Notamacropus eugenii: one gene and its partner. The protein of the gene in region 2 purifies or fractionates together with the protein of the main gene of each other region. This does not show direct contact. Links are inferred from orthologs where the notes say so. Each region holds a gene or a part of one and is shown on either strand. Other genes may lie near its edges.

Region 1 (7,261 bases), on a different chromosome or scaffold from region 2:
AGAACCAAAGGGAAAAACTATGAGAAAGCAGCACGCTTCAATCTGCAAAAATACATATCTTTAGGAATCAATTACCTTAATAGGCTCAGGAGTCAGTTTGTCTTCTTTAACAGGTTCAGGCACAGGCATCTTTTCCACTGGTTTGGGGGCTTTTTTGGCAGCTACTTTTGCTATGGGAGCTTTGGCTTCCTGGAAAGAAGGGAAGAAAAATAAATGAGAACTGGCAGTTAGAAGAGGAAGGCCCGTTCCCGTGCAGCCAAGTGAGGGAGTTACCTTTTTCAGGGGTATTTTTGACGGAGGGGGCTGCTGGGGCTCACACACTTTGTTGCCAATATCGCCCAGGGCCATCCTGGGCCTCAGCGCAGGCTTGGAGGCGGCAGTGGGCACAGGCACCCTCTTGGCACCGGGGACACCGCCCTTCACTTTGTTCTCAGCGTTGAGCTTCATGTTCTGCAAAGGGAACCCCGAAAACACAAAACGGTCACAAGTGTATCGCTGCAAAGGAGGCAGCAGGAAGCAAGTCCGGAAACCACGGGCTCCAAAGAGGCCCCAAACCTGACCCCCTCCCCCCATTACTGGGTCACGGAGAACAAACCCAGGCCCCCCCTTCCCTTCGGTGCTCCTGCGCCCACCCCCAACACAGACAAGGGGAAAGCAGGCTGGGGGAGGCCGGGCCCCACGGTGAGTGGGAGCCCTCCCGGGGACACAAGGGGGGCTGTCTGTCTGTCCGTCCCACCCTCCGCTCCCGGGCCGGACCTTCTCGCAGACAAGCCTCCAGCCTTGGTCGCCCGGCCCTCGGCAGCCTCGTGCGCCTGCCCCCCTGCACCGACGCCGAGGACCCTCCGGGGCCCCCAGCCCCCCTTCGTAGCCGGGAGGGGGGTCCTCACCCTGGTCACACGGAGCGCCATGGCTTGCACCTCTGCAGGCGGCGGCTACACACGAAGGAATGAACGGGGACAGAGAGCGCCCCCCCCGCCCCAGCCCAGCTCCCGGCGCCGGCGGAGCAAGCAGCCGTTCGTCCCAGCACGCAGTGGCGAGCCGCGGCCCAGCCTCAAGTTTAAACCCCGCGCAGCTCCTCGCTCATTGGCTGGTTCGTCGCCTTCCTTCGCCCTCTATTGGCTGGCTGCGAGTTCCTCCGAGAATGCGTTTCCTTGGCGATCCCGGCAGGACGTTCGAAAGGAGGGCGGGGTTAAGGGCCGGGGAGCGCTCCGCGTCACTCACGTGGCAGGGCCCGACACTGAGCGTGCGCGCTCTCCTCCCCCTCTTCCTCCCCCCAACTCCCAGGCGATTGGTTGTCGCACCTGGAGAGCCGCGGCCTGGCGTCCCGGGGCGCCCCGCAAACTGGGCGGAGGCGGAGGGGGTGAGGAGAGGCCGGGCCGGCCTACGAATGCCCGAGTGTCGGTAAGTTTATGAAACGTGGTGTGTGCCAGTCACTATGCCAGGTGCCCGAGGACACCAAGGAGAAAAACTACGCCTGCGCTGAAGGACCTAAGGCCTAACGTGGGGAACAGCGCGCAGGAGCGCTCGTCTTTCTGCGCCCGGAAGTCCTTTCCCAGCCCCGCCCACTGCGGGAGGGTGGGGTCTTCCTGCGCGGGCGTGTGTGCGTGACACGCATGCGCAGATGTGTCTGTTCAGGTTTCATGTAGACGCACGTTCTCAAGTGTATATATGTAGACAAACGTATGTACACATACAGACACCTACGCACATTTCCAGGATATACATACATATGTATATATGTGTGTATATGTATTATCTTCCATATATATGTGTGTCAAATATGTCTGTACACATCTGCGTATAGTCCATCTACAAGTTTTAAATGTTGTCTGAACTAAGATCAGAAAAAAGAGCTGATGACGTCACAGGGTCCGGCTCGAAGTCCGCCCCGCCTCCCTCCCCCGCCGTCAGACGCGGTGACCTTGGCGCGGTCACTGCCTGGGCGGGGCCGAGCGGACCGCGTGGGTGCGGGACACGCACGTACGTGCATGCACACCTACACACACGCGCACGCACATGTACACGCACGCGTACATTCATACATACACATGTGTGTGCCTCCGGCTTTAATGAATCCATGCACATAACTGCACATGTAATATAGAATACGGAAAACATGCGTATGAGTGTGTGATCCGTACACGCTCCCAGGGTTAACAGTCACACACATTTTCTACATCACCCCCGCACACACCCGCACCCCGCACACGCACGCACTTCCAGGGCTGCTCCCCCAGAGCGCCCGCGTTTCGCAGCGCCCTCCCTGTCCGCACGCTCGCTTCTCCCAGGCGGCTTCCGAGCCCCGGCCCGGCAGCGAAGTGGACCGGGGCAGAACCGATGAAGAAGCCAAGCCCCCGCTCGGAGCGGCTCCGGACCCCGTGGGTTCAGCGCGCGGGGCCGCCGGCGTGGTCTGCCCCCGCAGCGAGGACCCCGCAAGCGGCCCCTTGGGTGAAGACCCCCGCTCCCGCTCCCTCTCGGCCGCTGTCCTGTCACCTCCATGCTTTAGCCTCGCTGTCCGGACCGAGAAGCGGAGCCGGGCCGGCTCCTAGGGCTGCCCAGCCACCGCCACGAAGCCATCAGAATTGGATTGGTTTTAATGACATGTAGAGCGCTGGGCCCAGAGCGCGCCCCCCTAAACAGCAGGAGCCCCGCCGCCTCCCCCCGACGGACGCCCCGCAGTGTCAGCCGGATTGAGTGAAGTCACCCCCCTCCCCTCCCCAACCCTGCAGGGGCCTTCCTGCCCCCCCCCCCCCCCCCCACTGAGCCACAAGCATCAAAGTAGCCGGTCACCTCCCACCACCAGATGTTTGTCTTCTCACAGGCTTCACCTTGGCGTCCCCTCAGCGTCCGAGGCCGGACCGACCCTTCCCTATGCGCTCTGCTCCTCAGTCCAGCCTCATGTTTGTCACGTGCCCGGCAGCGCAGCGCCACGATCCTGCCTTCATCCATCACAAAAAGTGCAGGTAGAGGCAGCAGAGGCAGGGGCGACCCAAGGCGGGGCCTGGCAGGCAGGATCACAGACAGGATGAGGGGACGGAAGACTCGAGAGAACGGTGCAGGAGGAGGGGGATACAGCCAGGGCAGGGGGATGGCCTGGGAAGAAAAGCCGAAAGATGAAGGAATTAGAGGTCATGTAAAAATAAAGAGCAGGGTAAGGGACTGCAGAGCAGAGCAAACAACAACCAATTACTAGTGGGATTTCAGAATTCATGAACGTGGAAATGGACTCCTTGTGAGCGACTGTAGGATCAAAGGGGAAAATGAAAGGAAGAGCCTGAGTAGTTTTTGACAGGTTAGAATATTGTAAGAGGTTGATTTGATCTATAATGTTGTTGAGGTGGAGGGGTGCTGGGGACCCCAGAATACCCACACACTGGGTCCTGCTCAAATGAGTTCAACTCAAGCCTTCTTAAAGTCAAAGAAAAGCAAAGTTCATTAAAGATTCACCATACTGGGTCGACTCCTAAGGAGCCTAAGCATTTGTAACACTTGTATTCACAAGTGGGCCAGACACAATCCCAGCTAGACCGAGTCTGAGCTGGACTGAATCGCAGCGCCTTCATGAAGGGAGGAGGAAACTTTCCAAAGGTGGTCTTGTGCTCTGGGAGGAGGGTCTAAGGAGGATCTTGATGGGACTGGGGTACATATCCAGGCTGGGAAACAGCTGGAAGCAATTGGGAGATATCGGACAATGCAGGGTTTGGGTGGGAAGCAAGTGGGGCAATCCGGAGGTAACAGACAATGGTAACAGACAGGCTAGGCCAAGGGCAACAGATGTGAATATGAAACGCCAGCTTTCCTCAAGATTTTGAGTTCCAAATTTTCTCCCCATTTCTCCCCTCCCCCCACCCCATAATACCTTGCATTCTGATTTCCTCTTCCCTCCATGTGTCCTCCCTTCTATCACACCGCTCCCTTTCCTTATCCCCATCTCCTCTATTTTCTTGTAGGGCAAGATAGATTTCTATACCTCATTACCTGTATTTCTTATTTCCCAGTTGCATGTAAAAACAATTTTTAACATTCAGTTTTAAAACTTTGAGTTTCAACTTCTCTCCTTCCCTCCCCGCCCATCCCCACTGAGAAGGAAAGCAATTCAGTATTTTGATTATACATGTGTAGTTATGCAAAGGACTTCCATAAAAGTCATGTTGTAAAAGACTGTATTTCCCTCCATCCTATCCCGCCCCCCATTTATTCTACTCTCTCATTTGATCTTGTCCCTCCCCAAAAGTGTTTACTTCTAATTACCCCCTCCTCCCATTTGCCCACCCCACCTCTCAACCCCGCCCCCCTCTTATCCCCACCCCCCTCTTATCCCCTTCCCTCTACTTTACTGTAGTTTGAGAAAGATTTTCATCCCAAGTTGAGTGTGCATGTTATTCCCTCCTTAAACCAAGTGCGATGAGAGTAAGGTCCCAGGCTGTCATGGGCTGGAGATTGCTTCCCTCTGTCATTCTGTGGGTTCTGCAGTTCCAGAATTTGTTTAGAGTCATATTTTACAGGTATTTGGCTGGGTTTGGGAGGAAAGCTCTAGCAAGTCCTTGCTGTTAGCCCACGGTCTTGGCTCTGCCTCCCGCGGAAGCTTTTTGAAAGCAGACGTTGTTCAGTCTTTGTATCCCACAGTGTCTGTGACATAAGATGCTTTCTAAATGGCTGAGTGCTGTAGCTGGGATTCATGATCTGGACGGGGATGGACCAGATGATGTCTGAAGTTACGGCTCAGCTCTACCATTTTGTTATTATTGTTTTCATGAATTTACCCCTCCCCTTTCAGGCTTCTGTTGTCCTGTGGTGAAGCAGCCTGCCTAGCGTGTAGCCAGCCTGGCAGCAGCCAAGCCTGGCAAGGAGCCAGGCACACAGCTGCCAAGTGACCTGCTGGACCTACCCAGGAACATATTGGCCTGGCCAGTCCAGACACTGCACCTTAGAAAAATAAGCCACCTGTTTACCGTAGATGCTAATCCCTATGAGGAACCATCTCAGGAGAGTAGCAGAGAAACTCTCGTTACTGACATCATGTTCCACATCGAATTTCATGAGGACCCTTCAGAAGAAGGATATCAGTCTAGCAAATCCAGTGCTATTAATTGCCTTGGCCATGCATATTCCTTATACATGTCCTTTGCTATTATTGTATTTCAAATTTATGCCCAATCTTCTCCTAATTTTGGAGGCTGGGCTTATTTGTGGGAGACTGTACCCCTGGTGCTGGGGAATGTACTTCTTAACTACTGTCCTTTTTAAGGTATTTGAGCAAAATTTATTTGCTAAAGAACTGAGGGAAAGGGAAAGCACACCTGTTGGGGCTCAGAAGCTTATGTTAGGGTAGCCACCCACACAATTAGCCTTCAAATCCTGCAATCCTAGTAGGCACACCTCTGGAGACCCAATCTGACAGTGCCAGTATGGTATGGGCTGGAGGAGTGAGCCCAGGGTGGTGTGTTACACACCCAATACTTTTAAAAAAGAGGCTATTTGAATAGAAAAGGAAGAGAAAAAAATTATATGTGAAAACATGAATCTATTTTATAGATCTTGCTTTTTAAAAAAAGTTCATAATAAATTCAAAGTTATCCTGTTTGTATGTTTCCTTCTGAACTTTCTACTGTTACCTTCTGTCCATTAGAAAATACTTGAATGATCCTTTTTGGGGGGAGGAGGAAGTAATTCTACAGGTCACTCCCCTTTCTCAAACAAATCCTCTTTCCAAATTAAAACAAAAACAAGACAAAACTTGTTATAAGCATAGTCAAGCAACAAATATCAGCACATTTGTTGTACTTCAAAGCACATGTATAGTTCTGCACCTTGAGGCCATCACCCCTGTTTTTCAGGAGATAGCTGGCTTCATCATCCGTCCTCATTGCATTGATCAGCATTCGGAAGCCTTTCAAAGTTTTCTCTACGTAGTTGTTGCTACTTTACACACTTCTGGCTTTACTCACTTCACTATCAATTTATACAGGTTTCCCCTAAGGAGTCTCTAAAACCATCCCTTTCATCATTTTTTACAGGGAAATAATATTCCATTCCGTTAATATGTCATAGTTGGTTTGATCAATGGATGGAACTTCTTTTGTTCCCAGTTCTTTGCTGTGAGAAAAAGAGTTGCCCTATTTTTGTAGGTGAGGCCTTTCCCTGATTTCTTTTGTGGCTTGGCCAGGTCAAAGGTCATGACTCTTGGAAATAGGCACAAATTGCTTTCCAGGAGGGTTTGACCAATTGAGCGCTCTCCCAGCAGTGCCCTGATCATTTTCTTCTCTAGGTATTCACCAACTGTCCCTTTAATAATACGTTCTACAATCTTGCTGGGAATTGTAATCTTGTCTATTGTTTGCAAGTTTCATTCATTTCCCCCTATTTTGAACTTCAGGACAACTTCTGCTCTTTTCTGGTCCAGCAGTTACTCTCCAGTTCTTCACAGTTTCAAAACTCACACTGACAATAGCTCAGAAATCACATCGACTAGTTCTTTCAACACCCTCTGATGCAGTTAATTTGGACCCCATGACTTGAACTCATCAAAGGCAGGTGGGTGCTTATTTATCTTGATTTCGACTTCCTTTTAGCCATTATTGTTTAATTTTCCAGTTCAAAGATCAGTCTTTTTGGCAGAGAAAGCAAGCAGGATTAAGAGGTGGTTTTATCATCTCTGTTCCCAAACAACAGTCTGTACTCAAACAATAAGCTTTTATTAAGTGCCTAATATGTGCCAGGTGCTGAAGATGCTGATGAGGGGTGGTACAGGAACTCCAAGGCTAGAGCTCCTTGCACAGGCCATCTGGAGAAGAATTTGTGAACTCAAGTATTGTTGAGCTCAAGGTTAAGATTTTTGATGCTTTTCAGTGGGCAAAAGTTCTTAGGGAACCTGCAACCTTAGAGGGGTACAGGGAAAGTTTATATAGGATGTTCTACAGTATAACTTGTGCCAAATATGCAAATAGTGATTCAGGGAGGGATTAGGGAGTGGGTAAGAAGTGGTTAGTTCTTAAAGGAACATGCACTTTTGGCATCTACTTCGAAGATATTTTACGAAGAATTCATCAGGGAAATAGCCCAAGAGAGAGGTGTGGTATTAGGTTTGAAACATCCCCAAGTCAACTAACAGTCAGGACTGACTAAAGAATACCAAGTTGCTCTTATTGTCTTGTTAGACAAGATAAATGTAAGGGAGCATAGATAGATAGATAGATAATCTGATGGAATTGGTTAGAATCAGGTGAGAATCCCTAACCCCAACCGATTTTATATATATGTA
Region 2 (7,213 bases):
TAGGGACACAAACACAATAAATGAAATAATCCCTACTCCTATAGCATTTATAATCTGACAACATGGATATATTTAAGTATAAAAAAGAATAAATATAAAGAGAATAAATAAAAAAAGTAATTAACTACAAGGTAGTTTGAGAGAAATGGCATTAGCTGTTGAGTGGATTAAAAAAAGCTTCATGCTGAAAGTGGTATTTAAACTGCATTTTGAAGAAAAGAATTCTGTGAGGTAGAAATGAGGAGTAAGTGCATCGCAGTCATTGCGGACAGCTAGTGCAAAGGTATGGAGATTGGATATGGAGTATCACGTGTAAAGAACAGAGAGGAAGGCCAGTCTGGCTAGATCCCAGAAGTAATGTACCATGTGGGTGGAAAAATAGGTGGGGGTAAGGTTATGAAAGGTCAAGGCTGTAAACCTGGAAGACTGAAAGAATGATGATGTCTTTGACAAAAACTAAGACATCAGGAAGAGGGATGGGTTTGGGGAAAAGGATAGTGAGTTTTGGATGTGATGAATTTGAAATGTCTCTAGAAATCCAGTTTGCTTAAAAAATCAGTAAGTATTTATTACTACGTACTAGGCACTATGCTAGGGGATAGGGGTACAAATACAAAGAATAAACATGTCTATGCTCAAGTTGCTTACATGTATATGATATAAATATTGAAGTGTTCTTCAATACCTCTAGCATTTGTCTCCTCCTTTCACTCTGTCCATCACCCTATTTAAAACTCTCCAAAGCTGCCCTACTGAGTCAAAAAGATTCAGGTGCAATTATCATCTCTGACACATAAGAGCTGCATAACCATGAAATTAATTAACCCCTCAGCAACTCAGAATTGCCCATCAGTACTGGTGGAAGAAATTTTCTCAAATTCCTTACACAGATGAAATCAAAGGTCAAAAAAAGCCCAAGATCCTCCATAATGTAGTTCTCACTACAAGTAGCATCCCCTTCCAGACTCATGTCGCACTACTCCCCTTCACACATTCATAGACTCCTAAGATTTAAAGCTAAGAGCATTTATTAAGCATTGTGCGCATGAGACACTGAGCTACGCACTGAAGATATAAAAACAAAAGTGGAACTTTAGTCCCAGCTGTCAAAGAGCTTACATTTAAATGAGGAAGACTAAATGTATACATATAAGTATAAACATAACACATAGGGAATGAGTACAAGGTGACACTAGCATCTAGGAGGATAATAAAAAGCTTCATGTAGAGGAAGCTCTTGAACTGAATTTTAAAACAAGCAGAAATTCCAAGAGGCAGAAGTGATAAGAAAGTGTATCCCAGGTCTGGCATGTGCAAAGGCATGAAGATGGGAGACTGAACAGATACCTAAAAGTGAAAAGACTTGCTGAAGACTACATAGGGAGTAGGTGTTCGTGGGAACTGGGAAACAAACCCAACCATTTTTTTTTTTTTACCACAAATTCAATGAGACATTTTACAGGCCAACAAAATGACTTACTCCATTTTTTCCATACATATCCCCTGCTTTCTCACTCACTCTCTTCATTCTGGAATGCTCTTCCCTTGCATCTTTCTTTACCAACTGAACTCCTAAAAAGTCACTAAGGCCCAGTTGGAAAAACCTTCTCTAACTCTCTTTCCTGTTCCAGCATCATCCTCCCCAAAAAAAAACCAGAACATTTTGCACCTGGGAACGAATTACAATGTTGCCAAGTACTTGCTACATTACACCGGGTAAATCACTTGACTTGTCTGAGGCAAAGCAGAGACTTCACTTTTTTTTACTTTTCTCTGGATCCCCAGTACTTAGCGCAGTGTTTGAAGCACTTCATAGATGCCTGCTGACTGAACCTATTTCCTCATCTCCAAGGCAGATAACACAACCTTTTAACCTCATGTCTTGCATTGTAAAAGGGTTTTAGGTTTTTTTGGCCCTACCTTAGTCTTTTCGTATAGATATTTTAAAGGGCAGACAACTGGTAAAAGTGTAATGCGCAACTTTTTATATATTATTGAATTTTTTGGAAAATATTTCAACTTCGATGGGAAACCAAAAATGACACGATCATCAGGCCCATGTTGGCACCCCTCGCACATGCTTCCATTTCGGTACCTATTGTTTCTCCGTCTTACTACGCGACTGTGTTAGCTTTCTATATGAAAAAATCCTTAAACAGAAAAATATTAAAGTAAACTTGCTTTCTAATGAAAGATAACTTTTGACCTCTATGTCAATGTTTATTTTTGCAATGTTTTTCAGAAGCTTCTTCAGTGGATTGTGAGGAGAAGTGTTTGAGTTCATTGTGCTTCTCCCAGAGACTGGAAAGGTCCCTTCCCCGGAGAGCGGCTCTGGGGTATCATCATAGACCTGGAGCTGGAGGGGAAACTGAGGCCCGGGGAGGCTGGGGCGCTGTTGCGGGGGAGAGCATCCCCCGTCTTTCACTTACCTCCCCCACTTTGTTGGCTAAGGCAATGAGGTCCCTCTTGGGAGACCAGGCCATGAAAATGATCTCCTGGGGCAGCTGCTTCTCTCCCACCTGTCTGAAGGCCGGCATCGCGGGAGTCGGTCCTGCAATGACAAACCTCCCTCTTCAAACTGGACCGCGGGGTCCGCCAGACTCCCGAGGCAGCCGCCTCCCGGCCCCGCCCCCTCGCCTCCCGCGCAGCCGCATTACCGGGCAGGTTCGCTCCGTGGTGGCGCCAACCACGGCCGCGGATCCCGTGTTCCGGAGCGGAGCCGGCCTCGAGAGGCACTTCCGGGGTTGGAACTTCCGGCCGGAGCGCCATGCGCGTGCGCGATGTGGGTGACGCAGCGGCTCCAAGTGGCCACTCTCCCGGCCTGTGTAGAGCCCTCTTTAAGTCAGTTTCACCCCTTACCCTCGAGGAGCTTCCAGTCCAACAGCCGAGGAAACGTCACCGCTCGTGTGCGGAGGACCCGTCCTTACAGTCATGGCAGCGATGACGAGCAGCGCCTAAGATAAAAGGAGTGAAATCTCGTCAGTTTCCAAAGGAAGCCAATTACGGTGAAATAATTAATAAAACATTTTTTCTTTGAAGTTCGTGAGCTCCGGGGGAAGAGCTTGTTGTAGAAATCATTGCTGCTGTTTGATTATTTGCACCCTCCGGCCACGCAGCGAGCCCCTTGGGATTCCTTCTCGCTGGGGTTCAAGCTGTAGGGAAGCTTTTATACTTTAATAGCTGCTTTTTCAAAAACTGGAACAGCCCGGACCATGTGCTGTGCAAAGGGCAGGCTGCAGACCACTATTCTAAATAAGGCAGGCAACCTCATATTTTATAAAATTTCGCCCCATCTCTCCTAAAAACGAAGGCTTGGTTTTCCTAAAGCCCCGTGCTTGGACCTGGAATGCTCTGTCTTCTCCACTCCTCCCGACTAAAATCCCCCAGGAAGGCTTCCCCAGCCCCTCTTGATTTCGGTACCTTCCAGGTGCTCCTGAACATAGTTTACTCTGTGTGTGTGTGGGCACATATACATATGTGTGTATATGCACGTATATATATAGGTGTGTGTGTTTGCATGTTGTCTCCCACCTGAGTTTGTAAGCTACTTAAGGGCTGAAACTTTCTTTTGTCTCTTTCTGTATCCCGGGTGCTTAGCACGATGCCTGGCATACGGAAGATATTTAATAAATGCTTATTGAATGAGTGAATTATGCCATCATTCACCATCTTCAACGTTGAATGTCATCGCATGTCAAACTCACAAAGTGTTGAGAACTGTTAGGTGCCTATAAATCTGCTGAAAGATGTGCCTTTTCCAAAATAACAGAGTATATGAGTTAATAGGATATTCCTTTTGGAAATTCCATGTAACTACGGTATGTAAGGAGGATTTTGTTATCTTTTTTAGTTTAGTTTCTCAGGGTCTATGGCCATGGGAATGTCCAGTTTCCAAGTGTTACATAGTAACTGCTAAAAGTCTCAAGAATTCTAGATTGTAGTTCTTAGAATCATACTGAGGCTGCACCGTGAGATAGGGGAGTGACAGAATTGATATTTACTACGATTGTGCTGAATGACAATGTTGCTAAAGTTAACTTGTGAACTTCATGTTGGCATGATGCCTTCTTTGTCTGATTGCCCTATAAAGCAGGTGGGCACTGGTGGGGGGGGGGGATTTCATGTCCATGGGGGAAAACCCCAGGGAACCCATAGGGGATTCTGTGTGTGCCTCAAGGGGCCCCTCACCGAGGACTGAGGGGAATTAGGGAAGTGCACAAGTGTGCCTGTCTGGATTGACCCCATTGAGAAGTAGTTGCCCCACCCCTGCTTCTTGCCAGCCCCTCCGAGAAGGAGGGAATGCTGTAGGAGCTGGTTGTCCCACAGCCCCTCTAAGAAGCCTAGAGGAAAATAAAGCTGATTATTAGTCCCTCCAAAGCTGCCTGCCTGTCTGACCAGATCAAGAGTGAACCTGTTAAGAAGCTGGAATCCAAAAACTCCAGTGCCTCCTGGGTGTTATCTGTGAAACAACTGCCAAAGTAGCTTGCTTTTAAGTACTACTGGTGAGTAGGGTGATTAGGCATATTCTAGTGGAGAGGTTCTTAACCTTTTTTGTGTCATGAAAGCATTTGGTAGTTTGGTAAAAATCTATGGATCCCTTATAGAATAAGGTTTTTAAATGCATTAAATACAAAAAGTATAAGGGAGAGTATAAAATTACATAAAGATGTAATTTTCCCCCATCCAATTTCAAGGACTCTCTCAAATCTATCCCTGGTGGATATCTTGGTGGGGGAAGTCTATCAAAGACCTCAGTTTAAGAACCCCCTAGTCAAGAAAATGTTCCTTCTACCAAAGTAATGTGGACTTTCAAAAGCCTTAATTGGACTAAGCACATCAACAATAAGTTTAATGTATGTATAATATGTATAAATTAATGTTTAATATGTCCCATGCATGAGAATGCCCTTTGTCTTGAAGTGAGACAGAATAAAAATCTCTAGCCTCTTCTCCTCCTACTCCCAAGGCAGACTTGAATTTCTTTCAAAAGGGAAAGCAGGAACTTGGGGCCAGAAGCTCAGTTTACTATTTTTGAGGTGATAAACAAAGCACATTGGGGAAGAATTGCCATGGTGAGTAAGGTTTCTTGCAGGAGAGAAGCAGAAAGTTTTGTTATCTGAAAATCAATCTGCTTCCCCCAAATTAAACAATCAAGAGGAGTTGTGAGGCTTCTAGGACTATTTACATGACAACGCTGGAGTTGTTAGACTGGAGAAAAATTTTTGAGAATTTTAAATAGTTCAGGTCATCAACAAGAATTGTGAATAAAAGTTACCTCTTTAATGTCAGTTTTATTCTTAGTATTCGTTTTGGTAGTCAAAGGGTTAAACTGCTGGAGCACTGAGATAGGAGAGAATTTTTAAATTTTTTATTTCCTTTTATTACTATTTGGGGTGGGGGGAGAATGGGGTCAGGACTGTTTCTCCTAGTTAGTTTATTGAGCAGGCTGAAGCCTATCTCATAATATGTGAAATTTTACTTAAAGCTTGAAACATTCCTCAGAGAAGCAGAAAAAGGGAGTCATGGCTTCTGGAAGTAATTTGACTTAACTCATTTGAGGGAGAATTCACTTGACTATAGGCATGTAAATCTCCCCTCTCAATCAGCCCATTTCGAACCCTTTAAATGTGGTTTAATTTGTAATCTGACTTAATTTACTTATAGAGTCCGTTTAACTAGGTTTGTCTCCTTAGGCGATGTAGGAGAATATAATTCTGCTTAACTGAATTTAAGTTTTATGACCTTGCATGAGGCATAGGATTATGAATATGTATATATTTTTTAAAATTTTTATGGCTTAAGAGGATGTATGAGATTGCTATATGTAAAAGAATTATTTCTCTGTCTCTCTTATGTAACTTTGTCTATAAAAAGCCTTGTTAGAGTCCTAATCTTTGTTCGGGGTTATTTTTTTTAAGTCCTGAACCCGTGCTTAAATGTAATAAAACAAGGTTTTTACCTTTATAATTCCTGCGTTATGGTAGATTTATTTCAGCAGCAGTAACTTACCCCATGAACTCAGAGGAGATATTTCTCCCATAACAATCAAATGGAGTCAGGCTCCCTGGATATAAAAGAGAAGCCCTCACAATGACATTTGTAAAAACCTAGGTAGCTTTATTTGATGTGTCTATCTATCTATCTAGACAGACAGGGGTAGCTAGATGGTGCAGTGGATAGAGGGCTGGGCCTGGGCTAAGACTCACCTTCCTGAGTTCAAATCTAGCCTCAGACACTAGCTGTGTGACCCTGGGCAAATCACTTAACCTTGTTTGCTTTAGTTTCCTCATCTGTAAAATGAGCTAAAGAAAGAAATGGCAAACCACTCCACTATCTTTGCCAAGAAAACCCCAAATGGGGTCAAAAAGAGTCGGACAGGACTGAAAACCATTGAACAATCTATCTGCCTTTGGTCTTGAATTGTGATTTCATTAGCGTAAGGAACTCCAGTGAGGAAATTCCATCTACCAATGAAGAGCTGCAACTAACTCTTTTAGGACATTTTCATCCTAGAGAATTGCCTGGGGCATTAAGAGACTGAGTGATTTGCCCAGGGTCACACAAACATGATGTGTGACTGATCACACCAGGAAGGGTTATTGTAAGGATCAAATAAAATGTTTGTAGAAGTGTTTGGCACTGTGCCTGACATATCATAGGTGTGATCTGTATAAATGTGTATTCACTTCCCTCTACTGACCCTTAATGCAGTCTGAAAGAGGTGCAGAATCCCAAAGGGCAACACAAGAAAACCTCCAGACAGAACAAAATTGGCAGAATGGAGTCTTTTCCCTGAAACCAGGACCCAGTTTTTCAACACCATAACTCTTCTGCTTAGGCTATATGACTGGAAATGATGCAGCCTCTGAAGAATTAAAGACAGAGGTCACCCAAAGAGCAATGGAGAAACATATGGTGGGTGTGAGTAGAATGCAACTAGGAATTACATGGGAGAAGGGGTGTAAAAGATGCTATGGGATGACCAGAAGAGCAGCAGGGTCAGTCGTAGCAAGATGGCCTGTGTGTTCCACCAGTATCCAAGCAGTGTCCTGCTTAGACTAAGCATGTTTGAAGGAAGTCATGTGACTTCCATTACGTAGTAGACTGGCTCTAGATTGAAAGTCAGAAGATCTAGGTTTGAACACTGGATCTGCCGCCGTACTCTCTGGGTGAACTTGGGCAACTTTGCTTCTCACTTTCCTTGTATGTAAGG

Evidence for each region. Proteins that work in one complex are often made in the same cells at the same time.
Region 1: the proteins of ANAPC4 (region 2) and CCNB1 purify together in Homo sapiens (affinity purification with western blotting; 3 studies listed by BioGRID). This does not show direct contact. The link is inferred for Notamacropus eugenii from reciprocal best matches to the Homo sapiens genes ANAPC4 and CCNB1.

The regions. Positions count from the first base shown.
Region 1 is NC_092875.1:474,473,770-474,481,030, forward strand, and holds the start of CCNB1 (G2/mitotic-specific cyclin-B1), read right to left. Parts: upstream 3,088-7,261; 5' UTR 2,950-3,087; coding exon 2,791-2,949; intron 1,561-2,790; exon of another isoform or gene 909-1,560; coding exon of another isoform or gene 888-908; intron 451-887; coding exon 274-450; intron 190-273; coding exon 76-189; intron 1-75. UniProt on the Homo sapiens protein: Essential for the control of the cell cycle at the G2/M (mitosis) transition.
Region 2 is NC_092877.1:78,210,330-78,217,542, reverse strand, and holds the start of ANAPC4 (anaphase-promoting complex subunit 4), read right to left. Parts: upstream 3,029-7,213; 5' UTR 2,770-3,028; coding exon 2,658-2,769; intron 2,552-2,657; coding exon 2,430-2,551; intron 1-2,429. UniProt on the Homo sapiens protein: Component of the anaphase promoting complex/cyclosome (APC/C), a cell cycle-regulated E3 ubiquitin ligase that controls progression through mitosis and the G1 phase of the cell cycle.